Linked DNA regions of Ovis aries. The protein of the gene in region 3 purifies or fractionates together with the protein of the main gene of each other region. This does not show direct contact. Links are inferred from orthologs where the notes say so. Each region holds a gene or a part of one and is shown on either strand. Other genes may lie near its edges.

What was found. Proteins that work in one complex are often made in the same cells at the same time.
Region 1: the proteins of AURKB (region 3) and G3BP2 purify together in Homo sapiens (affinity purification with mass spectrometry; 3 studies listed by BioGRID and IntAct, with this or other methods). This does not show direct contact. The link is inferred for Ovis aries from reciprocal best matches to the Homo sapiens genes AURKB and G3BP2.
Region 2: the proteins of AURKB (region 3) and HSP90AB1 purify together in Homo sapiens (affinity purification with mass spectrometry; 6 studies listed by BioGRID and IntAct, counting the BioPlex papers as one, with this or other methods). This does not show direct contact. The link is inferred for Ovis aries from reciprocal best matches to the Homo sapiens genes AURKB and HSP90AB1.
Region 4: the proteins of AURKB (region 3) and SEC16A purify together in Homo sapiens (affinity purification with mass spectrometry; 3 studies listed by BioGRID and IntAct, with this or other methods). This does not show direct contact. The link is inferred for Ovis aries from reciprocal best matches to the Homo sapiens genes AURKB and SEC16A.

Annotation. Positions count from the first base shown.
Region 1 is NC_056059.1:91,226,458-91,234,244, reverse strand, and holds the end of G3BP2 (ras GTPase-activating protein-binding protein 2), read left to right. Parts: intron 1-100; coding exon 101-229; intron 230-1,521; coding exon 1,522-1,640; intron 1,641-1,969; coding exon 1,970-2,242; 3' UTR 2,243-4,937; downstream 4,938-7,787.
Region 2 is NC_056073.1:17,736,153-17,743,622, reverse strand, and holds the end of HSP90AB1 (heat shock protein HSP 90-beta), read right to left. Parts: coding exon 7,405-7,470; intron 7,093-7,404; coding exon 6,886-7,092; intron 6,792-6,885; coding exon 6,632-6,791; intron 6,485-6,631; coding exon 6,351-6,484; intron 6,234-6,350; coding exon 5,925-6,233; intron 5,574-5,924; coding exon 5,408-5,573; intron 5,197-5,407; coding exon 5,006-5,196; intron 4,902-5,005; coding exon 4,754-4,901; intron 4,630-4,753; coding exon 4,361-4,629; intron 4,109-4,360; coding exon 3,775-4,108; intron 3,684-3,774; coding exon 3,574-3,683; 3' UTR 3,310-3,573; downstream 1-3,309. Other genes in the region: SLC35B2 (adenosine 3'-phospho 5'-phosphosulfate transporter 1), read left to right, coding at 1-928. UniProt on the Homo sapiens protein: Molecular chaperone that promotes the maturation, structural maintenance and proper regulation of specific target proteins involved for instance in cell cycle control and signal transduction. Undergoes a functional cycle linked to its ATPase activity.
Region 3 is NC_056064.1:27,652,755-27,661,063, forward strand, and holds AURKB (aurora kinase B), read right to left. Parts: upstream 4,641-8,309; 5' UTR 4,549-4,640; intron 4,302-4,548; 5' UTR 4,278-4,301; coding exon 4,230-4,277; exon of another isoform or gene 3,003-4,229; coding exon 2,900-3,002; exon of another isoform or gene 2,790-2,899; coding exon 2,735-2,789; exon of another isoform or gene 2,524-2,734; coding exon 2,332-2,523; exon of another isoform or gene 2,038-2,331; coding exon 1,899-2,037; coding exon of another isoform or gene 1,889-1,898; exon of another isoform or gene 1,791-1,888; coding exon 1,642-1,790; exon of another isoform or gene 970-1,641; coding exon 795-969; exon of another isoform or gene 637-794; coding exon 463-636; 3' UTR 329-462; downstream 1-328. UniProt on the Homo sapiens protein: Serine/threonine-protein kinase component of the chromosomal passenger complex (CPC), a complex that acts as a key regulator of mitosis.
Region 4 is NC_056056.1:3,026,199-3,033,985, forward strand, and holds part of SEC16A (protein transport protein Sec16A), read left to right. Parts: intron 1-2,181; 5' UTR 2,182-2,250; coding exon 2,251-5,799; intron 5,800-7,387; coding exon 7,388-7,518; intron 7,519-7,787. UniProt on the Homo sapiens protein: Acts as a molecular scaffold that plays a key role in the organization of the endoplasmic reticulum exit sites (ERES), also known as transitional endoplasmic reticulum (tER).

The sequences.
Region 1 (7,787 bases), on a different chromosome or scaffold from region 3:
AAGAATATCAAGTGTTGGGGTTTTTAACTTTCATTGCTTTGAACTAATTTTTATTATATGACATTGTAAACTTTAATATCTGCTCTGTTCCTCTTCTCAGGCAGAGGAGATATTGAACAGAATGAATCTGAGAACCGTAGAATAATTCGCTATCCAGATAGTCATCAACTCTTTGTTGGTAACTTGCCACATGATATTGATGAAAATGAACTAAAAGAGTTCTTCATGAGTAAGTGGTTTAGTTTGCTTTATGGTAAAATTAAGCAGGAGGTGAAGAGAATTTTTTTTCTAATCATAAGACTTATTCTTCTTGACGTTTATTTCAGAGAAAGCATTCTGTTGTTAATAATCAGGATTTTCACATAATATTATATTGCAGATAATTGACGGTAATGCCAGATATTTCTGACAACTATTTTGATTTGCTGTAGTTTCTAGAGTTAAAAAAAAATTTTTTTTCTAGACTTTTCTTCCCCTTTGTTAGTTACCGATTATTTTTTTAAACTTTTTAGCTTGTATTGGGGTGTAGCCAATTAACAGTGTTATAGTTTCAGGTGAACAATGAAGGAACTCAGCCATACATATACATGTATCCATTCTCTCTCAAGCTCCTTTCCCATCCAGGCTGCCACATGACATTGAGCAGAGTTGCATGTAGCTCTACAGTAGGTCCTTACTGGTTATCCATTTTAAATATAGCAGTGTGTACATGTTGATCCCAAGCTCCCTTAACTATCCCTTCCCTTTTATGTGTGCGCCCCGCCCCGCCCCCCCCGCCTCCTGAAACGATAAGTTCGTTCTCTGTGAGTCTTTTCTGTTTCATAAGTAAGTTCATTTGTGTTGTTTCTTTTTAGATTCCATGTATCATGTCATATGATATTTCTCCTTCTCAGTCTGACTTACCTCACTCTGTATGGCAATCTCTAGGTCCACCCATATTCCTGCAGATGGAATTATTTCATTCTTTTTAATGGCTTAGTAGTATTCTATTGTATATGTGTTCTACACTGAGGAGAGTTCTTTTTTCATAATACGATTTTTAAAAAAACATTTACGTCTGTACATAGTGTGTATCTCTAGGTACCGGTCACCTTTAATTGATCAGGAGTATAAGGTTATATCAGATGTTTCCCAGTGAGTGTACTTCGTGTTGATTGACCTGGTTCTGTAGAGGTTAGAAGAAAGAGCTGGGTGAATCAGTCTTAAATTTGGAAATGGGATTCATCCGGCAAATACAAATCTAATATAGAAAATAAAATTGTCTCTCTAAAATGTGTAGGTAACTTTTCCTTTTGAATGGACTGACAAAGATGCAGGGCAACAGAATAGGCTAGTTGTTGGCATGTTAAATGAATAACCTGTAAGAGTGAAAGTACCTTAATGCACTGGCTATAGCAGCTTGCAAGTTGTGTTTTGAAATGGATCAGGAAGAATGAGGTATTTTATTCTGAACAGTTAAAGTTACAAAATATTCTGTTAAAGTATTTTATTTTATCCTTTGTGTAATGTATATTTTCACAGGTTTTGGAAATGTTGTGGAACTTCGCATCAATACCAAGGGTGTTGGCGGAAAGCTTCCAAATTTTGGTTTTGTGGTTTTTGATGACTCTGAACCAGTTCAGAGAATCTTAATTGCAAAAGTAAGTGACTTAAATGGCATAATTGAATACCTTATTATTCCTGTTGTATTTAATGTGAATAAGTCTTTTTTAAATGGTACAGTTAAAAATAGTTTACTATGAACTAGTATTTATGCAAAGAATAAAGATATGTTAGTAATTTTAAAATTTGAGGTATGGGTCATTTTAAAATAAATGTGTTTGATTATTTACTCTGGTAAAGAAGGTTGGATATCGAGAATAGATTGCATATTGAGAATTTCGAAAGTTTTTTTTATGTTTTTCACTATTTCTTACACCACTGTTACCGTCTAACCTGCCCATGTACATTTTTTTCTTCCTTTTTAAAGCCAATTATGTTTCGAGGGGAAGTACGTTTAAATGTGGAAGAGAAAAAGACAAGAGCTGCCAGAGAGCGAGAAACTCGAGGTGGTGGTGATGACCGCCGGGATATTAGGCGCAGTGATCGAGGTCCTGGTGGTCCCCGGGGAATAGTGGGCGGTGGAATGATGCGCGACCGGGACGGAAGAGGACCCCCTCCGAGAGGTGGCATGGCACAGAAACTTGGCTCTGGGAGAGGAGCCGGGCAGATGGAAGGCCGCTTCACAGGACAGCGTCGCTGAGGCTCCACTGTTGGCAGAGTCTTGGCAGTGGTACATTATTCATCGTGTTTGCATTCTTGTTAATTTTTTTTTTGGCTTTGGAATGTGACACAGCCTTTTTGATCATTTCTTTGATGTGAAAAGCATCTTTCGGTTATCAGTTAAATTGAGGTGGACATTATTTCCCCAATTTTACAACAGGATTCGCATTGTTAATTTATAAATCTAGACTTGGAGAATTAAGGACTGAGAAATGACCATATCTTAAACTGTCTACAACAAAGTGAACTTAAAAGGACATGCCCAACTGAATTCAGGTCCTTTGAGTCAAAAAAATCCTCTGCTGCACATTTTGTTTAAGTGTTACTGTTTCTGCCTATTATTGTTGGAAACACAAATAGTGCAATTTGTGCAATTGGAGAATCTTGCCTTTTTTTCTTGGCTCCCCCCAAAAATACAAACCAACAGAAACTTGTTATGCACTCATCAGAATGCACTAATGGGTACTCTGAACTCATTAACCTTGACATCTGCAACAGGAGGCAAGAGGGGAAAAAAATCTTTCATCTTTTTTTCCAGTAGAGCATAGTTTGTGAAATGATGAGGGCATTTTTACCTGCTTGCTGTGACCAGCGTGTGTACACATAAACCTTAACAAGACTACAAGTATATTCCAGAAGGAAGTCATTTAGTTATGAACGAAATAACAAAGATCAGAACTTCAAATGCTATGGTCTTGAATGTTAGACCAGATTTAGTAGCTCCATATCTAAGGTTTTTTTCTACCTGCCCCTCTTCAGTACAGGGATGGCTGGCTGCTCAACACACTCCTCCTCCCCCTTTTCCTTTCTTTAAGCTGTGTACAGTGAAAATTGTCTTTACTGTATTTTTGTTCTCTGGTAATGTAATACGCATGATGGTGCCTTCTATTAATACATCATTCCAGTCTTGCTGGTAATTTTGTACAGTATAGTGTATAAATTGCTGTGCTGCAAAGCCAAACAGCTGCAAAATGTTGAGAAATCATTGAAGTATATAAAAATTGCAGTATCTTTAAAATCAGTAAAATTGACTAGTATATTATTTACCTTGTTCTTCAGTTAACAACTTTGTGTTCTCTGTGGGAGGGAGTCTTGTGTGTTTGGGAGGCAGAGGGAAGGAGGAAGTCAGTTATTTGAGTCAAAGTCTCTTGTTGACTTTTCTCTTAGCCTGAAGGTGAACATTGAAGCGTATCACTTGAGAGGTGCTTGGAAAAGTCAGTCAACTTGATGTACATTGTTAGTGACCTTTTAAAAGCAGTCAGATTCCATAAATGGCACGTAAACCTAAAGTAAGGATACTGCAATTTTCAGAGAAAAAAGAACAGCAGCTCTTAAGTGTTTGCATTTTCTATTTGAGGGGGCAGGGAACTGTCATTCATTTTGCACAATTCTTGACCTGATGTCAGCACCCGAGTGGCTCTGAATTTAAGTCTGGGATGACATCTTTTATTTTTACATGAATCTCTAAACAATTCTGTGAGCAAAGTTTGTAGCTGCTGGATTATTGTCTGTCTTTATAGCAAGTTCCGGTAAACCACAAATATGACAAAGGATATCCGATTTTATGCTTGGAGTATTTGGTACCTACCAGTTTCTGATGTTTCAGGCCAGGAGTGGGGTAAATAAGTGTGACCACTTAAAGCTGCTTGTAGCATGGAAGACTTCTCCATTCTGTCTTAGTAAAAACAAACAAAAAATGCACTTGACATAATAGCAAACTGTTTCTTAATTATGAAACTGTTTGCTATTTAGTAAACTAGCAAATGATGCACATATTTTGTTTTCCATGTACTGGGCAATGTAAGTAAAATTAAGCCTGTCCCCTTTTTCCCCACCTTGAATGAGGTCTTCCATGTTCGAGGAAAAGTCTTGCACTATTGGATATATTTTGGGGACACAGATTTCTCAGTTTCCATTTTGGGGGGCTTAAGGATTTTTTTTCCTGTTTGAAATACATTTACGCTTTCTAATGTATAGTACTTGAAGTTCTTACAAGAAAATTACTTTTGAGTTTTGAAGCTTTTATTCAAACTGCTTTTAAATAAGTGGTTTCTTGTCAGTGTTTTTTTTTTTTTTATATATAGCATATTGTTCCTCTTTCATTTCTTTCTCCTCCTTCATTTGATATATATATATGTAAAATTTTCGATCCAAGATATTGCCCTACCGCCCATGAAAACTGTTCTGGCACCAAAAGTAATGATAAATGTTAAGTGTAATAGAAAATTAAAGCAAAGAGCCATTCAGCTTCAGTCTTTACATACCATGAATAAAACTTTAAAACATCACATGGAGAAGTTTACATGGTGATTGTTCACCTGCAGTACTGTGGACTTTTAACATTTTGTCCCCTTTTCAGTGAACCAGAGTAAAAATATTCATCTACCGTAACTGTTATTTGCTGGGTTTTTTTATTGTTGTTGTTGTTTGTTTTTATTTTTTGGATGGTAATATTCTATTCTATCCTTATGACACTATTGCAACCAAATTGGCTTTACCATCTTGGCTTTAGTAGGTATAGAAGACAATGGATTACCATCTTTATTGCTGTAATGTGTTAAGCATTATATGCTAGTAGTATCTAGTTTAATTGTTTCAGGTGGAAAGTATTCTTTGAGTTTCCATTTTGAATGTGTTTGGACTAAACAAACAATAAACTACTGATGTCTGCAGCATTTTATTTATGTCCCTAATTTAATCTTTAGGTTTGTGTTCCGAAATATTTTCTCCCAGTTGCATTTCACACAGCCTCAGGAAATAAGGAATTGTTCTAACATCAACTGATGATTATTTGTGAAATTTGATATGTAAAATTATTTAAGACTTGGAACATAATTACTTGAACTGAGATAGATGCCTGGTTCAGTTAGATAATTGGTAAACAAGATAGAGAATGTTAGACCAGAATAATAAGTAGTGAGGAAGGTGAGAAGCAGACTACTAAACGTTTATTTATTCGTTTTTAATAATCTTGGGTTTTCTAAAGGATTGCTACTTCATCTCAGAAGGAAAAAAGGATGGGAAGATCGAGGTGATCTGAAGTTATGGACATGACCAGTTCAGCAGTTGGAACAAACTTGTGAAGCTCTAAAAGAATATTAAAAGGGAAAAGAATCATTCACTCATAGTTAACAAATATATTCTAAAATCACAAGGCATATGTAATTTTAGAACTTGAGACTTTTACTTTGTTAATAGGGATAGTATAAGTGAATTTTTCCTGATATATTTATAACACTGTATGAAGATTCCATAAATCAATCTTTACTAGTTTGTACTGGAGAAAAGCTAGACTGTTATTCAAGTACTTTTAGGAAGTAAGACTTAAGATTTTTTAAGTGTCTATTAAGCTCACTTTCAATTTTAATTATAATGTATAATATTTAATTTTATGGCTGTGGAAAAACATTATTCAGAAGGGATAAAATGTATGTGCCATACTATATTGAAAAAAATTTGAAGAAGTAAAGTATCATTTGGTCCAGGAAATATGGAACAAAATATTTGAAAGTTGAACCACACATGATGCTTCATTTCAGTTGTGTTATATAATATAGTCTTTGTATCAAGTAAATGAAAATGTAATGAATAGCTAGCTGTTCATATCTTTTCTTCAGGATGACTTGCTCATCATGATTTATATTTCAACTTCAGGTGAAGACTTGATTTTTTTTTTTCCTTTCCAGTCTGTTTTCATAAGACTTTCTAATTATTGATCATTTTAATGCCAGAATTCTAAAATATCTTAAATGACTGGATAAATGAATTAACGTTTCATTATGTTCTGAAAGAGATTTCCCTTCATAAAAGATATGAGTAGGTTCATGGATCATAAAAAATGTGAGTAGTTTTGTTTAAAGCTATTTGCATAGTTAAGTCAAAATTCCTTCAGTTTTCAAGGTTTTTTGACAATTGAAGTCTTCCAATCTGTTTATGTAGTATGTAACCACACCTTATACTTAAGAATTAATAGGAAATGAAATTGGTTTTTAGCATTACCGAATACTGGGCAAAATACTATAAGTGAGAGTTTAGAATTAAACATTCACAGTAAGATTACTATTCTTTTCCTTGATCTCCTAAGAATTTTGATAAAGCTGGCTGCCTATTTGGCATGCTTTCAGTTTTATGACAACTCATCACCCCATAACCACCACCACCTGCCCCCTACGCACATACCGATCCTTTCTGTCCTCAGCCTCTTTCCCCACAAGTTTTCTCTGAATGGTTTCATTTAGGCTAGGAATTACCTTAGCTTCAGTGTATTGTCCATTCAGTAAATTTCATGTAGTGTGATGATAAGAGGTGGGGAGTGTGAGGATTCAGTGAGTTAATAGGCGAAGCTCTTGAAACAGTGTATGGGGTCTTCAGTAAGTGTTACCTGTTACTTTTTTTGTAACAGTTGAATTTCTACTGTCTTAAGGATAACTATGTTTCAAACATTTCTTTTTTTAATCCTATTTTGCCTTGTCCTCTTAAACTCCTGGTGGTGGTTTAGTTTTTAAGTCATGTCTGACTCTTGTGACCTATGGACTGTAGCCTGCCAGGCTCCTCTGTCCGTGGGATTCTCCAGGCAAGAATACTGGAGTGGGTTGGCGACTCCTTCTCCAGGGGATCTTCCCGACCAGGGCTCCTGCTTGTAGGAAGATTCTTTACCAGCTTCAAAGAGGCAAGCCCTTTGAAGTCCTAGGTAATTCAAAATTCAGAAGTCCAAAGCAATGTGTTTTCTAACTGCCATGCTTCTCTAAGTGATGTGCATACTTAATTCTGTGATAGTGAACATCTCTATTAACCTACAAATGTTTGAAGTCTCATCTGTTCTGCTTAATATTTTCTCTTTGTCTCCCTTCTGTCCATTTTTCAGGATGCAGGAAGATTTGTTCATGCTATTCTGATTAACTTTCACTGGCTTATTTAAGTCATTAACGATTGAGCTTCTGAATGCCAGGTGTGTTTTAGGCACTGTCAATAAATGATGAAATAAAACAAGGTTGCCTGTTCTCAGGTTAAAAGGTCTGAAACAGTGGTTGCATATTTAAGGTAGCTAAGGAGACTTCCCTCACAGTCCAGTGGTTAAGATTCCATGCTTCCACCTCCAGGGGAGCTCAGGTTCCATCTTTTTTTTTTTTTTTATAAGGAGAAACTAGGAAGCTGACTGTGAGGAGGTGGTCTTTATGACAAAAACAATAGAAAGTTGAAGGTTTATTTGGCAGGATGGTAATTCTATTTTGAAATATCTGGCTACAGAGTAAACAAAGTGAAGGAGTTAATGAGTAAGTTGGGTGAAAGGATGCTGTATTTCAGTAAGCCATAATAGTAGAGTGATTGTACTAGCTTGGACTAGAGTGATGTTAGAAATCTAGACAATTTGAAAGACTGTGGGTAAAACAGCCAGGTCTTGGTGAGGAAAAAGGTAGTATCAAAGAACCCAAAGTTGTTCCCTTGCATAACTATAAAAGCAAAGTGATATGTGGAGTGTTTTAAAACCAGCCTTTCATGATAGGGAGGCAGGAATATTCTAAAAA
Region 2 (7,470 bases), on a different chromosome or scaffold from region 3:
GACGTGGGGAGTGCTGCAGGAAAGAGTGATGACCCGCAGCTACGGGGCCACAGCCACATCGCCAGGCGAGCGCTTCTCGGACTCTCAGTTCCTGGTGCTCATGAACCGCATCCTGGCCCTGATGGTGGCTGGCGTCTACTGCATCTTATGCAAGCAGCCCCGACATGGGGCACCCATGTACCGGTACTCCTTTGCCAGCCTGTCCAATGTGCTCAGCAGCTGGTGCCAATACGAAGCTCTCAAGTTCGTCAGCTTCCCCACCCAGGTGCTGGCCAAGGCCTCCAAGGTCATCCCCGTTATGCTGATGGGAAAATTGGTGTCTCGGCGCAGCTATGAGCACTGGGAATATCTGACAGCTGGCCTCATCTCCATCGGGGTCAGCATGTTCCTGCTGTCCAGCGGACCGGAGCCCCACAGCTCCCCGGCCACCACGCTCTCAGGCCTCATCCTGTTGGCAGGCTACATTGCCTTCGACAGCTTCACCTCCAACTGGCAGGACGCCCTGTTCGCCTATAAGATGTCGTCAGTGCAGATGATGTTTGGGGTCAACCTCTTCTCCTGCCTCTTCACGGTGGGCTCCCTGCTGGAGCAGGGGGCCCTCCTGGAGGGCATCCGCTTCATGGGACGACACAGCGAGTTTGCGGCACACACCCTGCTGCTGTCCATCTGCTCTGCGTGTGGCCAGCTCTTCATCTTCTACACCATCGGGCAGTTTGGGGCTGCCATCTTCACCATCATCATGACCCTCCGCCAGGCCTTCGCCATCCTCCTTTCCTGCCTCCTCTACGGCCACACTGTCACTGTGGTGGGGGGCCTGGGAGTGGCTGTGGTCTTTGCTGCCCTCCTGCTCCGGGTCTACGCCCGGGGCCGTCTAAAGCAGCGGGGAAAGAAGGCTGTGCCAGTCGAGTCATCTGTGCAGAAAGTTTGAGGGCCCGAGGAATGACTAGGACCCGCTTGCTGTACCAGTTTCTCTCCTGTCACTCCTCAGAGGCAGCTGGCTCCAGGGCAAAATGCAGGTTTCTTGACCAGCGCTGCGGCAGGGGGCAGGGAGCCCAGGAGGCGGCCTTCCCCGTTGCCTTAAGTCACCCAGCCTCCAGTGGGCAGGATTCTCCCCAGGGTGGAGAGAACAGTGGGGGACTGAGAAGGTGGGGGCGCCTTCCGAAGCCCCTGCTTCTCCGGTTCTCCGAAGTCTTGCCCTGGAGGCTCTGCTAGTGCCTCACCTGTGCTTGTCCCCTACCTTGACTACTACCCTTTCAGACTCCGAGACATGCATTTCTTACTCTGGTGAGAGAAGCACACGTGTTGTAGGCTCCCGATGCTGCTTTCCCAGGAGAGAAAGTGAACGATGGTGCTGTGCTGGGCGAGGGCTTGGGAATCCTGCCCAGCACCACCAGCCCCCCTGCTCCTGGATCCCTAGGCTCTGCCCTATGAACCAGTTGCAGGTTTTGGTACTTTGGAAATACAACTTTTGCTCTTATGATTTTATTTTATTAAATTAAATTGCTGCAGTGGGTTTGGTCCTGTGTTCTGGTTGACTAAGTACAAACATTCAACTTCAGATACCTAAAACTTCCATTAGCTCAGAACTGCCTACAATTTGTTTTACAAGTGTCAAATGTTTAACTTGTTTAAATACTGAAAGTGGAAAAAAAAAGTGGTTTCTAACATGTGCCATTTCTTGGTCCTTGTTTGTGGCCTGGTGGCTGACTGGAAACTGCAGCTCAGTGCCCAGCAACACCAGTGAAGGTACCTCCTACTGTCAGCCCAGGAAAAGGTCAAAACTCGAAAAGTACTCAATGTATGCTTTTGTTCTACCATAGTAAACTCAAATTTTGAGTGGAAAATCGTCTGTATATGCTAAGCTTAGGAAAGGGAATTCTGAAAGTGTTATGTGCTAAGTTGCTTCAGTTGTGTTCTTTGTGACCCTATGGACCGTTAGCCTGCCAGGTTCCTCTGTCCATGTAATTCTCCAAGCAACAATACTGGAGTGGGTGGCCATTCCCTTCTACAGGGGATCTTCCCGACCCGGGGATTGGATTCACGTTTCTTACCATCTGCTACATTGGCAGGTGGGTTCTTTATCACAATACCACTTACCTTCAGTGTTATTTTTGAGAAATTGTAGCTAATTCACAATGTTAATTTCTGCTGTGCAGCAGCAGTTGTTTTACGGTATTTTTTTCCATTATGGTTTACAATGGGATACTGAATATAGTTCTCTGTAGGGCTTTTTTCTACAGAGGAAAACTTGGGCCAGCTGACCCTAATGCCCCACTCCATCACCCTCTCAACCACCAGTCTGTTGTCCCATGATTTGATTCAGATTCATATTTTCCACAGACATCCCACATAGGTGGTTATCAAGTGGTATGTCTTCCCTGTTAGTATAACCTCCAGTGGCATCCATGTGGCTGCAAAAGGCATCACTTCTTTAATGGCTGAGCATCTCACTGTGTATGTGTCCATCTTCCTTATCAGTGACCACGTGTCCACTCTCGACTGTCAGTAGTGCTGCTGTGAACACAGGGGTGTAGGTTTTGTTTTCTCTGATGTTATGTCCAGGAGCGGGATTGCCTTTTTTAGTTTTGAGGAACCTCGTTCTCTACTGTGGCTGCACCAGCTTTGGAGCAAGACTCCAGCCCCACCCACAGCATGGGAAGGTTCCCTTTTCTCTGCACCCTCTCCAGCATGGTACTGCAGCTTTACAATGATGGCCATTTGGACCCATGTGTGGTAGTACGTCATTTTTTCATTTCTCAAATTAGCATCTTGAACCTCTTTTATCTACTGGCCACCTATGTTTTAAGAGAAATGTCTATTTAGTTCTTTGCCTGTTTTTTGATTGGATTGAGTTGAACGAGCTATTTTGGAAATTCAGCTTACGTCTGTTGCCTCATGTGCAATTATTTTCTCCCTCTTTGACTCTCTCTCATTTTGTTTCTATGGCTTCTAAACTTACCCGTGATGGTTTTAATATCTTCCTATGTATCACAATTGGGCTTCCCTGGTGGCTCAGCTGATAAAAAGAATCTGCATGCAATGCAGGAGACCTGGATTGGGTTGGGAAGATCCCTGGAGAAGGGGATGGCTACCCACTCCAATATTCTGGCCTTGAGAATTCCATGGACTGTATAGTCCACAGGTGTCTTAAGACTCAAGACAAAACTGAGCAGACATGGCTGAACTGACTTTCACTTTATGTACCATGTTATCTACTCAGAATGATGGCAGGCTAAGATTTGTAAAGGGATACATACAGGATAACTCCAAAGGCAGCACTGTATATACTTAAATCTACGAGAGCAGAACTGTGTAAAAAACCTGCATCTTCTTTATTTTCAATACTTTAATTTCAGAACAAAATAAACAAAACACAACACACAACATTCAAACCCCATGTCAAACGTGGAGAGGAATCGGGCGTGAGGCCCATGTATCCTGCCTTAGAAGGACAGAAATAAAACCACTAGACGTCAGCAGAGGGAACCACATGGGCCAGGGCCACAAGGGCGGCTGCTGCTGCAGGAGCCATGGGGACGCTATACAGAGGGAGCAGTCTGCAGGTATAAACTCCTAATCTACTTCTTCCATGCGAGAGGCGTCCTCGTCACCCTCAAGGGGGGGAATCTCATCAGGAACAGCAGCACTGGGCTCCTCTGCCGTCACCTCATCTTCATCAATGCCTAAGAGGAAAGAAACCACATCAGGTAGGCCCCCAAAAGCCTTCAAAAGCGCCTGACACACCTTGCTACTTGAGAGGACAAAGGTACTCACCCAAGCCAAGCTTTATCATGCGGTAGATACGGTTGGAGTGGGTCTGGGGATCCTCAAGCGAGAAGCCAGAGGAGAGCAGTGCAGTTTCGAACAGTAGCACCACCAGGTCCTTGACGGCCTTGTCGTTCTTGTCCGCCTCTGCCTTCTGCCGCAGGGTCTCCACGATGGGGTGGTCAGGGTTGATCTCCAGGTGCTTTTTGGCCATCATGTAGCCCATGGTCGAGTTGTCCCGCAGTGCCTGGGCTTTCATGATGCGCTCCATGTTGGCGGTCCAGCCGTAGGTGCTGGTCACAATGCAGCAGGGTGAGGACACGAGCCTGTTGGAGATCGTCACCTGAGGGTAGGCAGAAAAGCTCATTGTACTGAATCGAATTACCTCCTCAAGGCAAAGATGCTCATCTCTACTCTTTGGGGAAAAGTGTCATCTTTGGTAAGTTCTATAGAAATACCAACCTTAAGAGAACAAGAAGTAGGGTGGCACTAAGCAAATTAAGCTGCCTAAACCACTAACTGTAGCAGCCAAAGATGGGAGGAAACCACTCTGAAGGCATCGCTAACAAGATAACTTTGCTTCACAACGGCTTACCTTCTCCACCTTCTTATCCAAGATCTCCTTCATGAGTTTGCAGAGGTTCTCAAACTTTGCCTTGCTCTCCTCCATCTTCTTCTTCTCCTCCTCATCCTCAGGCAGCTCCAGGCCCTCCTTGGTCACAGAGACCAGACTCTTCCCATCAAACTCCTTGAGCTGCTGTACACAGTACTCGTCGATGGGCTCCGTCATGTACACCACCTCAAAGCCCCGCTTCCGCACGCGCTCCACAAATGCAGAGTTGGCAACCTGCTCTTTGCTCTCACCTGTAGGATTACTCAGTGTGACTCAAGGGCCAAAATGCCTCATCCTGCCAGTTCCCCAGGACCCTTGAGTGTCTGCCCCACACCTCTAAAAAAAGGCTTTTATCAGACCTAGGTTCCAACGTACCAGTGATGTAATAGATGGACTTCTGGGTCTCCTTCATGCGAGACACATATTCTGAGAGAGAAGTCATCTCATCTCCAGACTGGGACGTGTGATAGCGCAGCAGCTCAGAAAGGCGTCGCCGGTTAGTGGAGTCCTCATGGATTCCAAGCTTTATGGGTAGGGGAAAAAAATAATTTTGTTAGGAAATAACTTATCCTCTCAGTGAATGAAAAAAAATCCATTCTAATTATTAAGCAAGTACTTGCTGCTTACCTTCAGGTTTTTAGAGAATGCCTCATAGAATTTCTTATAGTTCTCCTTGTCTTCTGCTAGCTCAGAGAAGAGCTCAAGGCACTTCTTAACAATGTTCTTACGAATAACCTTCAAGATTTTGCTCTGCTGGAGCATTTCTCGGGAGATGTTCAGGGGAAGGTCTTCAGAGTCAACCACCCCACGGATGAAGTCTGAAATCAAAATATGGAAGCTGGGTTTTAAAGATACAGGAGTGGCGGGGATAAAGATAAAAGGTATATAAAGTCATCTGGATTCAACAGAAAGACTGATTTTCTCACCAAACTTTCACTTGTTAGGTTGCAGAGGATCCTTAATCTAAGATAAAGACTCCAGCCCCCGAGAACGCAGAAACGAACTACATTAGGGCAAAAAGATACTCACTGAGATATTCCGGAATCAACTCATCACAGCTGTCCATGATGAACACACGGCGGACATACAGTTTGATATTGTTCTTTTTCTTTTTGTTCTCGAAGAGGTCAAAAGGAGCCCGACGGGGGATGAACAGCAGTGCTCTGAATTCCAGCTGACCTTCTACAGAGAAGTGCTGAAAGAAATCCAAGATAAGCTGACTGTGTACTCAAGAGTGGCTTTTGGTCCCAATACCAAAATGTCCAATTATTTGAAACAAAAACTTCCTATCCCTGTAGAGAAAATTTAAGCCCTAATGCCCTAAATGAATCCAACTGCAAGCACTATATCATCTTTGGGTCAAAGACTCCAGGTGGGTAAAGCCACCAGAGACAGGTCACAGGGGAAGATGTCACTTCTCCACCCTGGAAGGGTCCATTAGCAAATCAACTCATAGCATTCACAGTTCCCAGCTACCAACCAGTTGGGTAAGTTCCATTTGTCCATATCAGCTCCTCCTACTGAGCCAACAAGCAAGACTTCTTACCTTCACTGCCAAGTGATCTTCCCAGTCATTGGTAAGACTCTTGTAGAACTCTCCATATTCCTCCTGGGTGATGTCATCAGGGTTCCTGGTCCAAATGGGCTTGGTTTTGTTCAGTTCTTCCTGATCAATGTACTTCTCCTTTATCTTCTTTGTCTTCTTTTTCTTATCCTTGCCACTATCATCCTCCTCGTCTGAGCCCACATCTTCAATCTTAGGCTTCTCTTCATCATCTTTATCTTCCTCTTCTTTCTCACCTTTCTCTTCTTCAGCCTCATCATCACTGATTTCCTTCTCACGTTCTTTCTCCAGCTAGAAGTATCAAAGATGACAGTTTCAGAGTACAAAAAAGCAAAAAAAAAACCCCAAAGTCCATGCAATTCTCTCAAGCAGCAGTTACCTGCACTTGAGTTACCAGTCCATACTCACATAAAGTGTGATGGGATAGCCTATGAACTGAGAGTGCTTCTTCACCACTTCTTTGACCCGCCTCTCTTCCAAGTATTCTGTCTGGTCTTCCTTCAGGTGGAGAATCACTTTGGTACCACGGCCAATAGGCTCACCTAGAAAAAAATTAATCAGAACAGAATATAAGAAACTAAATAAACAAACGCAGAACTATAACTGCTTTACACATACAATACTCAAGATCTTCATTAGTGTTTCCCCAGAATGCTAATCCAGACACCTTAACAGGAAAGCCAACTTACCATGGTCAGCCCGGACAGTGAAGGAACCCCCGGCAGAAGACTCCCAAGCATACTGTTCATCATCATTATGCTTTGTGATCACCACCACTTTCTCTGCCACTAGGTAGGCAGAGTAGAAGCCCACACCAAACTGCCCAATCATGGAGATGTCTGCACCAGCCTGCCAAAAAGTTTAAAAGTCAAACTCAAGTTTCAAAGAAATGGCAAAGCAAACACCAATAATATAAATGGAGTGTGCCTAACCAACCACGTACCTGAAGAGCCTCCATAAATGCTTTAGTGCCAGACTTGGCAATGGTTCCCAAATTATTTACAAGATCAGCTTTGGTCATGCCAATGCCCGTGTCTACCAGAGTCAGAGTACGCTCCTGGGGATTCGGGATGATGTCAATTTTCAGCTCTTTACCACTGTCCAATTTAGAAGGGTCTGTCAGGCTTTCATAGCGAATCTTGTCCAAGGCCTGAAAGTACAAAATTGCAGTTTTACAATTCTGCTTCCTCAAAACCCATCTCACCCAAAAAGTTTTTTAAACTCCCCAAATACGCTAATTCTGATTACTCCTTTAGCTTGTAGGTTGAGAACGACATCCAGTGGGTTACAGTATCCCATCTATCCACAGAGAGCAAGGCAATACTTTTTGGAACAGCAGTTAAGTTTATATCCCCCCTTTATCAGTTAACACCACAAAATGCCAAACCACCCCCACTTTCCCTCTCTTGGAGTACTTGAGAAACAAAAAACCAACGTCAATGAAGACATTCAGGGCACTCACATCAGAAGCATTACTGATCAACTCCCGAAGAAAAATTTCCTTGTTGGAATAGAAGGTGTTGATAAT
Region 3 (8,309 bases):
GATTAGAGGTCAACTAAGAGGGAGTAATAGAAGGTGGGTGGAGATGGTTGGTGATGGCTGATGTGCAGGCATAGCAGAGTAGAGCCAGGTCCCCAGCATCCCCAGGCCTGGGAGCCAGAGCAGGGGAAAGGAAAGATGTGGAAGTAGGATGGTTGGGAGCTGACCAGATGAGGTTAGAGCTGAGAGGTTGCTCTCAGTGCTGAGGGGTGTTCCCAGGGGTGATGATGCAGTGCCCACCCCACTGCCCAGCATGGGCAACTCCCTCGCCTCCTCCCCATGGGTGATGACTTCCTTCACAGCAGTCTCCACATGTAAACATCTACACTCATCAGTACAAAAAGCTTCAGCCTTTATTAAATAAAGAGGAGGTAGAAGACAGATGCAGAAACAGACTTGGGACCCCCCTCCTCCTGGCTACACATATACAGACACAGACACAACTGAGAAAAGGACAGGGACATTTCAGGGGACAGACTGAGGGGCAGAGGGAGGCAGCACCCTGCGAGAGTGGGCTCGGACCCAAGGGTGGGCAGAGACCTGGGCCAGCGGCAGGCGTTCTGAGGGGTTATGCTTGAGCAGCTTGGAGATGAGGTCCTGGGCTCCCATGGGCACAGAAGGAGGGAACTTTAGGTCCACCTGCAAGAAGGAGAGACAGGCTTCATCCTAGCTGCTTTTGCCTCCACTTCCCACTCTATTAGCAGGGTTTAACATCAACAGCAACAGTGTGCCCACTCCCTGCCCCAGCCCCTGAGCTGGCACAAACTCCAGCCAGACCCCGGGGGCCAGCCTCCCACCTTGACAATGCGCCGGTACGTCTCATTGTGGGAAGCACTCTCGAAGGGCGGGTTTCCCACCAGCAGCTCGTAGCAAAGCACGCCGATGCACCACAGGTCCACCTTCTCATTGTGCGTGCGCCCCTCAATCATCTCTGGGGGCAGGTAGTCCAGAGTGCCGCACATTGTCTTCCTCCTGGGGTGGGGCGGGGGAAGAGGGGGAGTGGGCAGGGATCTCAGATCCAGACTTTCCCTCCTTTCCCTGCAGCCTGACAGGGAGCCCAGACCGACCACAGGATGTGCCAGGGGTCTTCCAACCAGGCTCTGATGGGGTCTTTGGGGTAGGAGTGGGGCTAGCACACTGACTCTGCATTTCCACACTGAGGGCCGTACCTTAAAATAAATCAGATATGAGGGCAACGTTCACCTTAGAATTATAGGAAGAATTTCAGATGTTCATCAATCACATGTTGCTTAATCACATTACATTTCTACTGTGCAATACTATGAAGCCACTAAAAATGATGTGGGAGTATTCTCAGTGATATGGCAAGAAGGTCCCATTGTTTCAAGTGAGAAATCTGAGTGACAAAACTGAGACTCCTATTTTTGTTTTTGGCCACGCTGCACGGTTTGCAGGATCTTAGTTCCCTCGACCAGGGATTGAACCTGGGCCCCCTGCAGTGAAAGCTGGAGTCCTAACCACTGGACCAGCAGGGAACTCCCAAAGTCTCCTATTTTTGTAAAGATATTGCTGTGTCTATATATTTACATGAGAACAACCCAAAATGTCTCTGGGTAACAAGATCTGAAGTGGTTTTATTTTGAATGGCTTCATACCCAGGGCTGGCCTTCTGGCCCACCATACCTCAGGGAGGGGGCATGCACCGACCAGCCAAAGTCAGCAATCTTCAGCTCACCCCGGAGCCCCAAGAGCAGATTCTCTGGCTTGATGTCTCTGTGAATCACCTTCTTTGCATGGCAGTACGTCAGAGCATCTGCCAGCTCCTCCATGATCTGGGGGGCCAATGGCAGACAGTCAGAAGAGGACTGACCTCAGGCGGCAAATGGCATCCCCCAGCCTCCAGGCCCCTGCCAGTGCCCCAGGTGCCCACCCGCCCCGACCGTGGCTGTTCGCTGCTCATCAAAAGTTCGGCTCTTCTGCAGCTCCTTGTAGAGCTCCCCCTGGGGGGCATACTCCAGAATCAAGTAGATCCTTCGCCGGTCATAGAAATAGTTGTAGAGACGCAAGATGTTGGGATGTCTGGGAGAGGAGACAGAGGAGGCATCAGGCTGCATTCTGGCCTAAGGAAATGGGAAAGATGACAGGTCGCATTGGGGCAAACTGGGTCAGGTCTGGGCCAGGTAGGGGAAGCCAGTTGGCAGTCCTAATTGGGGACCGGAGGTGATTTTCTGGATTCAAGGCTCTGGCTGGGATTGAGAGCTCATTGGGGCTGCGTGGCCACAGCTACAGAGAAGACAGTCTAGATGTGGTGGGGTTGGAGGAGGAGTGGGGTTGGGGCGGCAGGGGCTCTGGCTCAGGGGACGTTGAGCGTACTGGAGATGGGCTTGGATTTCGATCTCTCTACGCAGCTGGTGCTCCACACCCTCCTTCTCGATCTGAGACTTGAAGAGGACTTTGAGTGCCACGATGAAATGGCTTTTCTTCTCCCGAGCCAAGTACACATTTCCAAACTTGCCTTTGCCCAGAGGACGCCCAATCTCAAAGTCATCGATTGTGAAGGAACGCCTGTTTGGGAAGCAGTGGTGGAGCAGCTGAGCAGTGGTTAGTTGGTCCTCTGAGGTGTTTGCCTTCTTTCTGGACCTCTGCCCCTCCTGCCTGCAATCCTGCTTCTCTTCCAGGGGAGCTGAGGATGGATCAGGCTTTCTCACCTGCATCCCTCCTCCTCCTGCCTTTATTCCACCCCGTCCCTTGCTACCTCAAAGCTTGGGGAGCTTACTTTGGGATGTTGAGGGTCCCACTGCTGTTCTCCACCACCTTCTGGCCAGGGGCAGCTAAGGAAAGAACAGGGAAGTTGAGGCCATCCTTTGACATTTTCATCCCCACCCACCCTCTGCAGACCCTAGTTCCCTCAGGTCAGTCCCCTCCCTTTGTGCTAGTTTACCTGTGGGCTGGGCATTGGAGCGACTCATGAGGACAAGCGCCGATGGGATGACAGCCTCCTTCCGGAGAACTCTCTGGGGCAGGGTGTTCAGGCCAGGCTGAGCCTGAGAAGGACCAGAGGGGAGCTCTGAGGGTGCCTTTATCCCAGTGACCGGGTTGGAATGCGCTACAAGCAGCATTTCAGGGCTTGCTATAAAGCCACCCACCTACCCCACCCCATCCCCAGTTCAAAGAGGAACAATGAGGCCACAATTTTGCTACTCAGTCTTGTCCATAACACCACTCATTTACCTAGCCCCCTACCCCAAAGGGCAGTAGAGGCTGGGGTAATGAACACCCACAATTCAAGGAGCTTCAGAACAGAGGTATTCTCACAGTTCCCTAAGCTTGGTCTGTTAAGGCTCAGATAAGATCCTTGGGGCCTTGAGTGTTCAGCAAATCTCAGTATTTACCGCTTTGCAACAACAGGCTTTAGGGAAAGTGAAGGCTATTCTAATTGTCCTGGAGCACTGTCACTGTCAACTTCTGAGTAACACACCACTTTCTTCTGGGAGTGACTGGTGTAGACATGACAGTGTCATCTCATTCAGCCTCCCCATTCAGAGCTTCACCGGGGAGGGAGCTGGTGGACAAGGGGATAGAGGGACCCTCCAGGATACTCAAGCCCCACTAACAGAGAACAAAGCTCATGTAGGGCCCCTTCTTTCTTCTTTAACCAAGAGAGAGCCTCAGTGCTCCTACAGACTTGTTCACAAACAGCGAATTTAGGATTTACAAATAAGCAAGTTGAACAAAATGGAGTCCAGAAATAGATCCACATATATATGGGAATTTAATATATACAATAACGCTAGCATTTCAAATCAGAGGGTAGATTCTTCAATGAAAGGTGTTAGGACAACTGGAAAATAAAGCTTTTTAGACGCATATGTCACACCGGTCATTAAAATCCAAATTCTTAAGTAAGACTTCTCTTGGACCTTTTAAAGTTATAAACTCATCTAAATAGCTTATATCTATTTCCTGCCTAGCCTATTTTTTCAGGACAACAGTTGAGATTCATGGCCTAATAGGCTAGACCCTGCCTGCTCAGTCCCAGACGCCATTTGTATGTGACAAGTAGGCTCAGCTCTGCAGAGGTCCTCACAGGCTGGTCAAATTCAAACTGGCAGCACCAGATAGGATGAGGCTACAAATGACCTGACTGGGGCCCATGCGCTGGTGCAAAGCCAGAAGAAAAGTGCTAAGAGGATCGCCCTCTGCAGGATCTCGAATCTGCAAGCAGGAAGTCGCCATGCTGATGGGGAGAGGGGAAGTGAGAAAGCCCTTACCGTCTGCCGGCCATAGGGCCAGGGGTAGGCGTTCTCCTTCTGGGCCATCCGTAGAGGGAAAGGGGGAAGGAACTGGGCAGAGAAGAGAAATAGAGCCGTGAGAAGCAAAAACAAAAAAAAAGGAGAGAGAGTGAGGGGTCGGATCGATCTAGCCGGAAGTGTTTGCCTGGGGTGGGGGGGGGGGCGAGTTGCTGGTGAAAGGGAGCAAGTCCAAAAGCTGGCTTCATCAGAGCGCATCCCCGCACTCGCCTCTCCGCCCCCACCCTGCTACCGGCCTCACTCCCTTCCAGGACCCTTTCTCCACCCTAGAGCAACCAACCTGCCGGATCACCTGGCCTCTCCCGGAGCAAGAATCCCGAAAGAAACCCGTGGTGCCTTGACCGCTGGCAACAACTGAATCCGTCCGGCCGCGCCTCCTCACCCCCGCCGAGGTCCTTTCAAATCTCCCGCCCGGGTCCCATTGGCTGAGCCTGCCGCCCATGCCCAATTCTCATTGGCTAATTATCCCATGACGTAGCTCCAGAGGCCCAATGGAAAAGGCGGAATGAGAGCCGGGGCAACCAGGGTTTTAACTTGGGAAAAGTTTTCCTCAAGCCTCGAATAGTCTTACTGGTGTTTTGTTTTTAAAATTTAAGTCATCAATATAACCTGGAATTTATTCTTGTGTATATGTATGAACTGGACTTCTGTGGTAGCTCAGCGATGAAGAAACCTCCTGCCAAAGCAGGAGACGCGAGCTCGACTCCCTGTCGGGGCGATCCCCTGGAGTAGGACACGGCAACCCACTCCAGTATTCTTTTCTGGGAAATCCCATGGACAGAGGAGCCTGGCAGGCTACAGTCCATGGGGTCGCAAAGAGTCGGACATGACTGAGCGAAAAGAGAGAGAGAGAAAAAAAAAGCAACTAGGTTTTCTTCCATGAGCCAATCCATCTCCTTCCCTAATTCACTAAGTTACGAGTTTTGGTATTTGCTGTCATAAGCATACTAACCGATACGCATCTACAGATCTAGAGAGTTAACAGTTATTTGGGTTGAATGATGCGATACTGACAATCATCTGACCCACAGAAAACACTAATTTCACATGATTCAACCCAATGTAAATTAAATAAATCCAAATGAGTTTCTACATCAGTTCACAACGCTTTTGGCTGCAAGTAACAGGAAACTCAGTTACCAATGGCACACACAACAGACATCTATTTTCTCTTCCACAACAATAAATCAGAAAGTAGGTAGCTGGCTCAGGAACTGAACAATGTAAGAGGTCTGCATTGACCTCTTCTGTGATTCTCTTAACATTCCCCTTCCGACTTCAAGGTGAATGCCAACTGTCTCTGTTTCTTTTAACAGAAAAAGCAGAAGGCTTCTAAAAGTCCTCATATAGGAATTCCTTGGTGGTCCAGTGGTTAGGACTCGATGCTCTCACTGCTGTGGGCCAGGGTTAAACCCTGGTGGGGAAACTAAGATCCCCAGAAGCCACACGTTGGGGCCCAACTCTTGGTGACCCGATGGGCCATAGCCCACAGGCTCCTCTGTTCATGGGATTTCCCAGGAAAGAATACTGGAGTGGGTTGCCATGTCCTGCTGCAGGGGATCCCCGGGACAGGGAGTCCAACTCCCGTCTCCTGCTGTGTGGGCCTTCCCTATCACATGACTACTGCAAAGGCAGCTGACAAAGTAACTTTGTCTTCCAGCCGCTACAGTTAGAGCAGCTAGGGGCCACAGTGGTAGCCTCAGGTAGCCACAGCTACCTGCAGCGGTAGAAACTGCAGGGTGCCACAGTTGTTTACAGGTTTATTGTTGGGAGCCCATGATTTTTTTAAAGTTGTAAATCTGTGCATGATGTGTCTCTAGAGATTTGATGAATATGGCCACCAGTGAAAAAAGCATTTTGCTTCTGGAAATGTGATGCTGTTTTCACTCAGGGTCAGCCCAACACCACTTCCCAGAATCAGAGATCCCATTTCAATTTCAGTGCCTTAGAGTTTTTTAGTGCCACATATAGAGTAACTAGCTAGTAAAGAGCTTTAGAAAAATCCTATCACTTGCAGTATACTTTATCCCTCATAACCTAGTGAAAGACTTTTCTAGAGCCTGTCAGGGACCTTGTGCATGGGTGGGATATCCCTGATGGATCCCCATACAGTTTCTCTGTCCATTGGAGTCTTTAAATTCCCCCTGCACATTACATCAGAAGACATCTGGCCTTTCAGAAATAGTTGATGGGCCACCACAAAATTGAGATTTGTGTTATTCATAAAACACGAAGCAAAACAAAACCTATCTGCTCTGGCAGCTAGGCAACCATCAGCTGCCTGTTCAAGTTAGTGAACAGAATCTCCATTATTTACCCCAGTGCTTCGCAAATGATCAGTAGGGAAGAACCATTTTTAATTATTTGCAATCTATCACAAATTGATGCTTTTACAACTTACATTAAAAATAAATTCCTTGAAAAAGTATAAAAAATATAAAAATTACAAGAAGACATATTTTTTGGTTGTAACTAGTATTTATAATGGCAATCCACTTCAGTATTCTTGCCTGCAGAATCCCCCATAGACAGAAGAGCTCTGCAGGCTACAGTCCATGGGGTCGCAAAGAGTTGGATACGACTGATCGACTACGCACAGTATAGCACAGTATTTATAAAAGTACTCTGACAAATGCTGTAACAGTTTTAAAAATACCTAACTCTCAAATTCTCTACTCATCCTGAACCTGAAAGTAATATTTCACGAAGTGGCACCAGTCTGTGGACCACAGTGAGTACCACCAATCTGCCTCCAGTGCAGTTCAGTTCAGTTCAGTCGCTCAGTCGTGTCCGACTCTTTGCGACCCCATGCATTGCAGCACGCCAGGCCTCCCTGTCCATCACCAATTCCCAGAGTTCACCCAAACTCATGTCCATCGAGTTGGTGATGCCATCCAGCCATCTCATCCTCTGTCGTCCCCTTCTCCTCCTGCCCCCAGTTCCTCCCAGCATCAGGGTCTTTTCCAATGAGTCAACTCTTCGCATGAGGTGGCCAAAGTATTGGGAGTTTCAGCTTCAGCATCAGTCCTTCCAATGAATACCCAAGACTGATCTCCTTTAGAATGGATTGGTTGGATCTCCTTGCAGTCCAAGGGAGTCTCAGGAGTCTTCTCCAACACCACAGTTCAAAAGCATCAATTCTTCAGCGCTCAGCTTTCTTCACTGTCCAACTCTCACATCCATACACGACCACTGGAAAAACCATAACCTTGACTAGATGGACCTTTGTTGGCAAAGTAATGTCTCTGCTTTTCAATATGCTATCTAGGTTGGTCATAACTTTCCTTCCAAGGAGTAAGCGTCTTTTAATGTCATGGCTGCAATCACCATCTGCAGTGATTTTGGAGCCCCCCAAAATAAAGTCTGACACTGTTTCCACTGTTTCCCATCTATTTCCCATGAAGTGATGGGACCAGCTGCCATGATCTTCGTTTTCTGAATGTTGAGCTTTAAGCCAACTTTTTCACTCTCCTCTTTCACTTTCATCAAGAGGCTTTTGAGTTCCTCTTCACTTTCTGCCATAAGGGTGGTGTCATCTGCGTATCTGACATTATTGATAATTCTCCCAGCAATCTTGATTCCAGCTTGTGCTTCTTCCAGCCCAGCATTTCTCATGATGTACTCTGCATTGAAGTTAAATAAGCAGGGTGACAATATACAGACTTGACGTACTCCTTTTCCTAATTGGAACCAGTCTGTTGGTCCATGTCCAGTTCTAACTGTTGCTTCCTGACCTGCATACACGGTTCTTAAGAGGCAGGTCAGGTGGTCTGGTACTCCCATCTCTTTCAGAATTTTCCACAGTTGGTTGTGATCCACACAGTCAAAGGCTTTGGCGTAGCCAATAAAGCAGAAATACATGTTTTTCTGGAACCCTCTTGCTTTTTTGATGATCCAGCGGATGTTGGCAATTTGATCTCTGGTTCCTCTGCCTTTTCTAAAACCAGCTTGAACATCTGAAAGTTCACAGTTCACGTATTGCTGAGCCTGGCTTGGAGAATTTTGAGCATTACTCTACTAGCGTGTGAGATGAGTGCAATT
Region 4 (7,787 bases), on a different chromosome or scaffold from region 3:
ATATTGAAACAGGTTGTGCTTATTTCAGGTAGATCCAAGGCAGCTTAATTGAAGAGCTACAGTTATGAGTAATATATCTTTAGGAAGATCAGCTGGTTTCTTTGAAGCAGTCTGCCATTTTTAAAGTTAGATGACCTGAGGCTACAGAATGACTTACTGGACAGAATGAAAGTCCCTATAGTTGAGATAAACGATATGTGCTTGCATTGTTTTTCTGCTGATGAATAGAGAAAAAGATGAAAAGAATAATGTTCAAGGCAGATCATTGTTCCAAATGAAACAGTTTATTGTTGAAAAGCTCTTAGTGGTCAGGGGGAGAAGGGGAAGCTACTTTGGAGGGAAGTGATAGTGTCTGCTTATGAAGTGATCCTTAGGAATTGAGAAAATAATGCTAAGAAAGTTTCTGCAAGGAAAATAAATGAGTATAAATGTTTTGTGAAATTTAGATTCAGGTAAGATTTCGCTCGTAAACAGCTGTAGGGATTAGGGCCTCCAGAATCCACTGTGAATAGAATTTCATAAGACTAAACCCAGAAGGAACTTTGAAACCATCATTTCAGTTCTCTTGCTTTATAGATGAAGGAATCGGGTCACTCACGGAGCAGCGGTGCGGCTGGGCCATTCAGCTGGCGCCCAGTCCTTTTCTCACGGTGACACTTAAGGAATTAATCCTGTGGGCCTATGCTCTGTATTTTATTTTTTAATATATGCTGTTTAGTGTGATTGAGGGTTTCCTGTTGAAGTCTTCCAAGGAGGAGGCCATGTCTTTGGAAGAGGCCTTGGGTGCCTCCCTTTCACATGTAAGAGGAAGAGGCTCTGCTCTTCTCCCCTGGGTCCATGTAAAGCTGAGCAGTAAGTGTTCTTAGTTTTCAAATGACAGCTTAGAACCAAAGGAAGTCGCTGATGCAGTTCTTCGCATATTTAATTCCATGAAATCTGAGTGAGTGTCAAAGTGCTTGTCTATTGGAAAGGACTCCCTGTTGGCCCGGGAGAAGGCCCTGTCGGAGCAGTAGTTGCAGCGGGCAGCTTTCGTTAGGAACTGACTGGATTTAATGTGCATTCGTTCACTTTTCCTTTTGCCAGAATTTCTTCTGTCCAAGGACGGAAACGTGGTGCTTCATGCAGATGACGCTGCAGAGCCCTTCTGTCACTTCTCCCTTTGGTATCGGCTCTTCTCTGTGATGGGCTCCTCTTAATCCATTTGTGAGGGTGTCGCTGGGGAGGAGGGCTGACACACAGAAGAGGAATTTGTAAAGAGACGGTACTTGGATTTTTGTCTTAAAAGTGCAGATTAACTGTTCAAGATTATACTTAGTATGTTTTATTAAAAAACAGACAACCACAAAAGACGCTGTAAAGAGGATTTCTGCTCCTTTGTTTTCCGCCAAGGGCTTGAGGGCCGTCTGCTTATTACTGACAAGTTTTGAATGAACTTAGTTGCTCAGTTTTAGCACCGATTTATGGTTACTTGGGATTTTCATTCCAGGCATAGTTGTTACAGCTCCAGTCATCAGACGCAGCTTGTTTTGCTGATGGTGTGCAACCCGTCACCGTGTGGAAAAGGAGACATTTTACAGGCTGGGATAAAAGGTGTTTTAGGCACATAGAATTCAGATAGTTGTTATTTTGCAGCTTACCTGACTCTGTGCTTTATAACGCTTTTCAGTTAAAATGGAGAAGCAGGCTTTTAACTTTGGTTTTCCTTTCCAAATATAAAATTGACCTGTGTGAAAAGTACGATATGTGATCTTAAGAGAGGAGGCGGCTCTTTCCGGACTTAGTGATAATTTGTCGGAAAATGTGGAGGCACTGTGTACCTGGTGCCCCGTGTTGGGTTCTGCTTGGTCCCTGCCAGCTTGCTGAGGGCATTGTGGAGGCAGTGGGCATTCCACATGGGTATGTAGCTCGGTGACATAACTGAATTTCACAGAAGGGCAGTGACTTGTCTGAAGTCACTTGGCCGGCCCCAGCACGGCCAGCCTTGGCATCCAGGCCGGTGTTGTTGCTCCCAGGATAGCAGTCCTCTCAGGGGTGGGCGAGGGGTGGGTGTATCCCTCAGGACTTACAAGATGCAAAACTGTTTTCCCATTTTTTTCATCTTTCTCAATTTTCCTGATTGTAGCCAGGACTATGAATAAATGGATTTTATGCTAACTTTTTTTTCCTCTTTTTCTTTTTCAGTTCAAATTAAGGAAAGCCTCCCTCCTGCTTCTTTCTGCAAGCAGCATCTCATTGTGCAAGAGCTCAGTCATGCAGCCGCCGCCCCAGGCCGTCCCTTCGGGCGTGGTCCGGCCGCCTCCGTCGGGGAGTCCTCAGACCATGTTCTGGTCTAACAGCCCTTATAGGAGACAGGCCGGCAGTCACACTCCGATGGCCCCGATAACCTGCCCACTGCAGCCAGTGACAGATCCTTTTGCTTTCAGTCGACAGGCTCTCCAGAGTACATCGCTGGGCGGTTCGTCTAAAAGCAGCCCGCCCATTTTGCAAGGCCCACCCTCGCCATCATCCCTGCAGCGTGCTGGTCTGCCCGTGCCTCACACAAACACTGGGGACAGCTCCCAAGGGCCCTGCGAACCTCTGCCAGGGCCTCCGGTGCAGCCCAGGGCAGATGCCAGCCCATTTCCCGGGGCGCCGATGCCCTCGGCCTCACATGGGCCCGAGACAAACAGGAGTGCCAAGGCTCCCGGCCCAGAGCCTGAGCTCCCGAACCCGCCGTACCCTCCACAGTACATTCCAGCAGTGGGGTCCAGTGGCTCTCGCGGGGGCCTTCCGCAGGGGCACGTGCCTCGGCCTGACAGACCCCTGAGCCGGCCGAGCCCCCCCGACAGTGCCGCACCCCCAGCAGCACTCCCGCTCCCCCCTCAGCCCTGCCAGCAAGTGCCTGGGCAGTGGGGGCCAGGGCAGGGAGGCCCACGGCCCCCGGGTCAGCAGTACTGGCCTGGCCCAGAGGGACCCCCGCAGATCCCAGGGCCCCACGCCTCCAGCGTCACCCACTTTCCCCCTCTGTCCAGCCTGCATCAGCATCCTGGCCATGAGCAGCTCGGCCCCCCGGCATCCTTACCAGGACCCTCAGCCAGTGACGGAAGAAACGAGGCCGTCTGCCTGCCCAGTGGAGACCACTCAGCAAATAGCTTTGATCCAGAGAGCGCGTTCAGGCAGAATTCCAGAGTTGGAAATGCTCGGGCAAACCAGGAGCTCAGGTCGAGTCCTGGAGTGAACAGAGAGCAGCTGTCGGGCCTGGCTGCCGTTAGCCCGCTCGCTCAGGGAAACGGCCTGGAAAGCCACTCGCACTGCTCGCCGGGGGCCGGGGGTGCCTGGACCCCACTGGAGGCGGGCTCGGGCGCACTCGCCATGTTTTTCAAAGGAGGAGAGACAGAGAATGAAGAGAACCTCTCGTTGGAAACAGCGGGCTCTGCCGGGCAGGCCGACGTGGACGGTTTCTGCCTCGGCCAGCTTCCCACACGTGTGGGCGCAGGAGGCGCTCACCAGGCCTTTCCCAGAGGCTCCAGCGGCGAGCCCACGCAGCTGGGGGGGGAGCCACAGCCTTACTTCCCTCAGTCTGCAGGTAGCCCTCACGAGAAAGCAGCCTCTAAGGTGGCCACCGTGGATGTGTGGGCAGACACGGCCCGTGCAGGGGCTCAGTACGAGAATGTTGAGAACCTGGAGTTCGTTCAGAACCAGGAAGTTCTGCCGAGCGAGCCCCTCAGCATGGATCCTTCCTCCCCAGGCGATCTGCTCAGGTGCGGGCCCCTTCCTGGCCCAGCTGGCCCCAGGCTCGGTGCGGTGGGCCCTGTGGGAGGCGGGGGCCTGAATCTCGAGGCCCTGGATATGACAGCGCGCCCTGCACGGTCTGACAGCGTGTCGTCCGGTTACAGCGGCAAGAGCCACCGGGGCCTTCCAGGTGCCAGGCTCCGCGACTCGGGTACCTTCATTCAACAGGAAGTGGGAAAACCTGAGGATGAGTCTCCAGGGAGGTTTTTTAAGCAGATCGATTCTTCTCCTGTCGGCGGCGAGACAGACGAGACCAGCAGCCAGAACTACCTTGGCAGCCTGTCCCAGCCCTCGACCCCAAGCCCCCCAAAACCTACGGGGGTGTTTCAGACGAGTGCAAACAGTTCTTTTGAACCCGTGAAATCGCACTTGGTTGGAGTAAAGCCCGTTGAGGCAGATCGCGCCAATGTGGTGGGGGAGGTGAGGGGGCCCAGTGCCCGCCAGCAGCACAGGGCCGCCGCTGCCACGCCTGATGCCGCCCCTGGCAACCTGGAGCAGCCCCCCGACAACATGGAGACCCTCTTCCCGCCACAGCGCTGTGTGCCACCTCTCGCCACCCCCCTGGAGGCCGGACGTGGGCTTCTGCAGGCCACGGGGCCGCCCTTGGAAACGGTGCTGCCAACACCTGAGAAGAGGCCCTCGACCAGGGTGCAGGGGCCTGTGAAGTGTGAGAGCCCCGCAACGACCCTGTGGGCACAGAACGAGCTCCCCGATTTTGGGGGCAATGTCCTTCTGGCCCCAGCGGCTCCCGCGCTTCACGTGCCAGTGAAACCTCAGCCGTCTGAGGTGATCCAGCCCCCAGACGCGGGGGCGGCACGGCAGGTGGGCTCTGGCGGTCAGAGTGGGGATGGCCTTGGCGCTTCTGAGAACCTGGAGAACCCTCCGCAGCTTGGCGAAGAGGAGGCCCTCCCGCCGCAGGCTGGCCCCAGCTATGCCAGCCTGTTGTCCTCCCCACCCGCTGAGTCTTTGCAGAATCAGCCCATCTTGATCGCCCAGCCCGATCAAAGCTATAGGCTGGCTCAGCCTGTCAACGTTTCTCAGTCCTTACCAAATCCTGACGAGAAGGCTCCATCCTGGAGAGACTCTTCGGCGGGAGATAAGCCCATAGTCAGCGGCCGGGCTGCCGGGGGTGATCCTGGAGAGAATGTACCTTTGTCTGGGATGCCAGCTAGCTCTCTCATCTGCTCGCCTCTGCCTAACCATCTGGCTCAGAGTCCTTTTCCACAAGTTTCTGGTACCTATGACATGGTTTCTAATCAAGCTGCTAATTTGCTGGTTCAACCGCACTCTCATCCAAATACCTTGCTTCCAGAAGGTCAGAAGGTCCACAACGCAGAGAGTGTGCCTCCTGAGGAGGTGCCCAGTCCTGCGGGGTGTGCAGGCCTGGTGTTAGTGCCGCCTGCAAGTAGCACCTCCCTGCCTGACAACAGCAAGCCAGGCCTCTGTGGCAGGCGGGACGGAGCTTCGGGAGCCCTGGACTTCATGTTTGGTAGGACTTTGGAAAATCCTGCAGGAGTGTACAGCCTGGCCCACGTGGATGGCCCAGCCTCTGTTCAGCAGCCCGCTGCCAGTCGTCGGCCGCCTGGGCCTGGGGCGAACACCTCGGACCGTTTCTATCAGCAGGTGATGAAAGAGGCTCATGACCAGCCTGGTGCAGAGAGAGCCCAGCAGGAGCTGGCACTGCCACTGCCTGCTCCACAAGGGCCCAGAGCAGTGCTTCCGGAGCCATCAAACCCGGGGAGTCCCCCGGTGCAGGCACAGCCTGCAGACCCGGCCCGGCCCGCAAGCCCAGCTCCTGCTGACGCGGGTCAGCAGCTGCTGCCCCGGCCGCCTCGGTCCTCCAGCGCCTCTGTTGTGTCCACCAGCTCGGGCCAGGCGGCCCCACGGCCCGACCAGCAGTGGCTGCAGCCCCCGCCTCCCGACCTGGCGTCCTACTTCTACTACAGGCCCCTGTATGACGGCTACCAGCCCCCGTACCCATACTCCGCATACCTGCCGGACCCTGGCCCAGCCCCCCACTATTACCAGGTAGGGCCACGCTCTTGCGCGGCTGAGCGCTCTGACCAGAGACCTCTTTCTCGTGTCCTGCCCCGGGGCAGGGTTCTGCGGTCAGTCCTGAGGGGACCCATGGTCCCCCTGCTGGCACACGCCTCTTCATGAGCTTCCTGAGAAGGGTGTTCCCCATCGCAGCTCCTTCTGCGGACCACAGCCCTTCTCCTGGAGGGCCGTGCTGCACACGGGCGTGTTTTAGTTGGGGAGAAGCGCTGCTTCATTTTGGTGTAGCACAGCATGCTCCAGCTTACGTGAGAAACGGCCCTCACTTCCTGTCCCGCCCACTGGCTTGCCACAGAGCCTGAGTTCTGGGTGGCACATTTTGGGAAACTGGAATAGCTTCTTGAAGTTTCTTTCGGGTTTTAACATCAAAAACTTACATGAGAAGCAACAGGAAAACTTTAGTCTTTTAAAGCCCTCCTTTAGGGTAAAATTGTTTAGGGTAAGAAATTCGGTTTGGGATGTAGCGTGGGTGAAACAGTTGAGAGCAGTGGCGCTGTGCACACTTCAGGACCTGGCCGTGGCAGAGGGGGCCGCTGTGCTGCGCAGGGGATCCTTTCTCACCTCTCTTCACGGTGAGCCAGGCCCACGAGTGCTGTTAAGTTTCCGTTTAATCCTGCTTTAGGGTGATCCACGTGGACACACCTTTGGTGGTCTGCTTGTTACCATCTCATGTCCTGGCCCAGCATTGCCACAGTCTGCAGAGGCAGGATTGTGGACCTGGAGTTTGGAGTCCCTTGCCTGACGTGGGTGTGGACCCCACACTGGAGGCCCCACAGTCAGAAGCAGCTGAGGGAGCAGAGCTGTGGTGGGCTGGGGGCCACCTGGGGGTGGGGCAGCCTGAGGGCATTCAAGAATCTCTGTATGCATGGGAATGAGTTACACGCCTAACCCCGAGACCTGGGAATCTGAGAGCCAGGAGGAGCCCCAGAGACTTATTTCCATGGAAGGACCACCCTCTGCAGGAGCCCCGGGTGGGCCTGCAGAGTGTGGAGGGGCCCGAGTCCCAGCCAGCTCCTGGCACTGCTGTGTGTGTGTCGGGGGGGGGCGGCCAGGCCCCAGCGGGGGTCAAGGGTAAGTCCACGCTGCGTGCTGTCTCATTCTCTAGCAGCTCTTGACAGAGAATCAGGCCCTGAGACAGGAAGGACAGGTCTGGCTCGTGCCCGGGTCGCCTGTCTCTGCGTCAGGTTCCAGCATGGCCGTAGGGCCACAGGGCTGCTGCATCTGGAAGGGGCTGAAAGCCTCCTGAGGCTAGAGCGTAGTCCTCTTTTTGGGGTTGTCTGTGCCTGCGGGACCCAATCCCAGGGGACCCAGATTCTTTTGCTTGCTTGAATTGGTGCCTGAAATGGGACCCCAGGTTGTGGGCTCTCAACACCTACTCAGGTGAGACCTCAGGAAGCAGAAGAGAGCCCTTGAGGCTCACCTGGGCATGGCCCGCTGCCGTACAGCCGTCTCCTGAGCCAGGCCAGGCTGTCTGCAGAGCCTCACCGGGGCCGTGAGGGCCGTGCGAGGTGCTTGCGCAGGTGGCTCTTGGCATCTAGTGACCGTGTCCTTCTTCCAACAGGACATCTATGGCCTCTACGACCCCAGGTACAGGCCCTGTGACAGCGCTGCCTACATGGATCCCTGCCGCTACCCCGAGCCCGAGCGGCCCAGCTCCCGGGCCAGTCACTGCTCCGACCGCCCGGCCGCCAGGTGATTCACGCTTGTGTTGCCGGCTGTGGTGGTAGCTTAGTGATTTGGAAGAGAGCACGTTTTTGGAGAATCATACAAGCCTGTTGAATGTGGGTTTGAGTTGCGTGGGTGCGGACAGATCGTAGGATGCACGGCCACAGGCATGTCAGCAGCTGGGCTTGGTCAAGCCAGACCCTGGGTGGGGCCACCCTCGAGCAGGGCTGCTCCCGGCCTGGGCAGTGGTCCTCTTGCCTGTGGTCACATGGCAGCTTTTAACCTGTGGAGGTTCT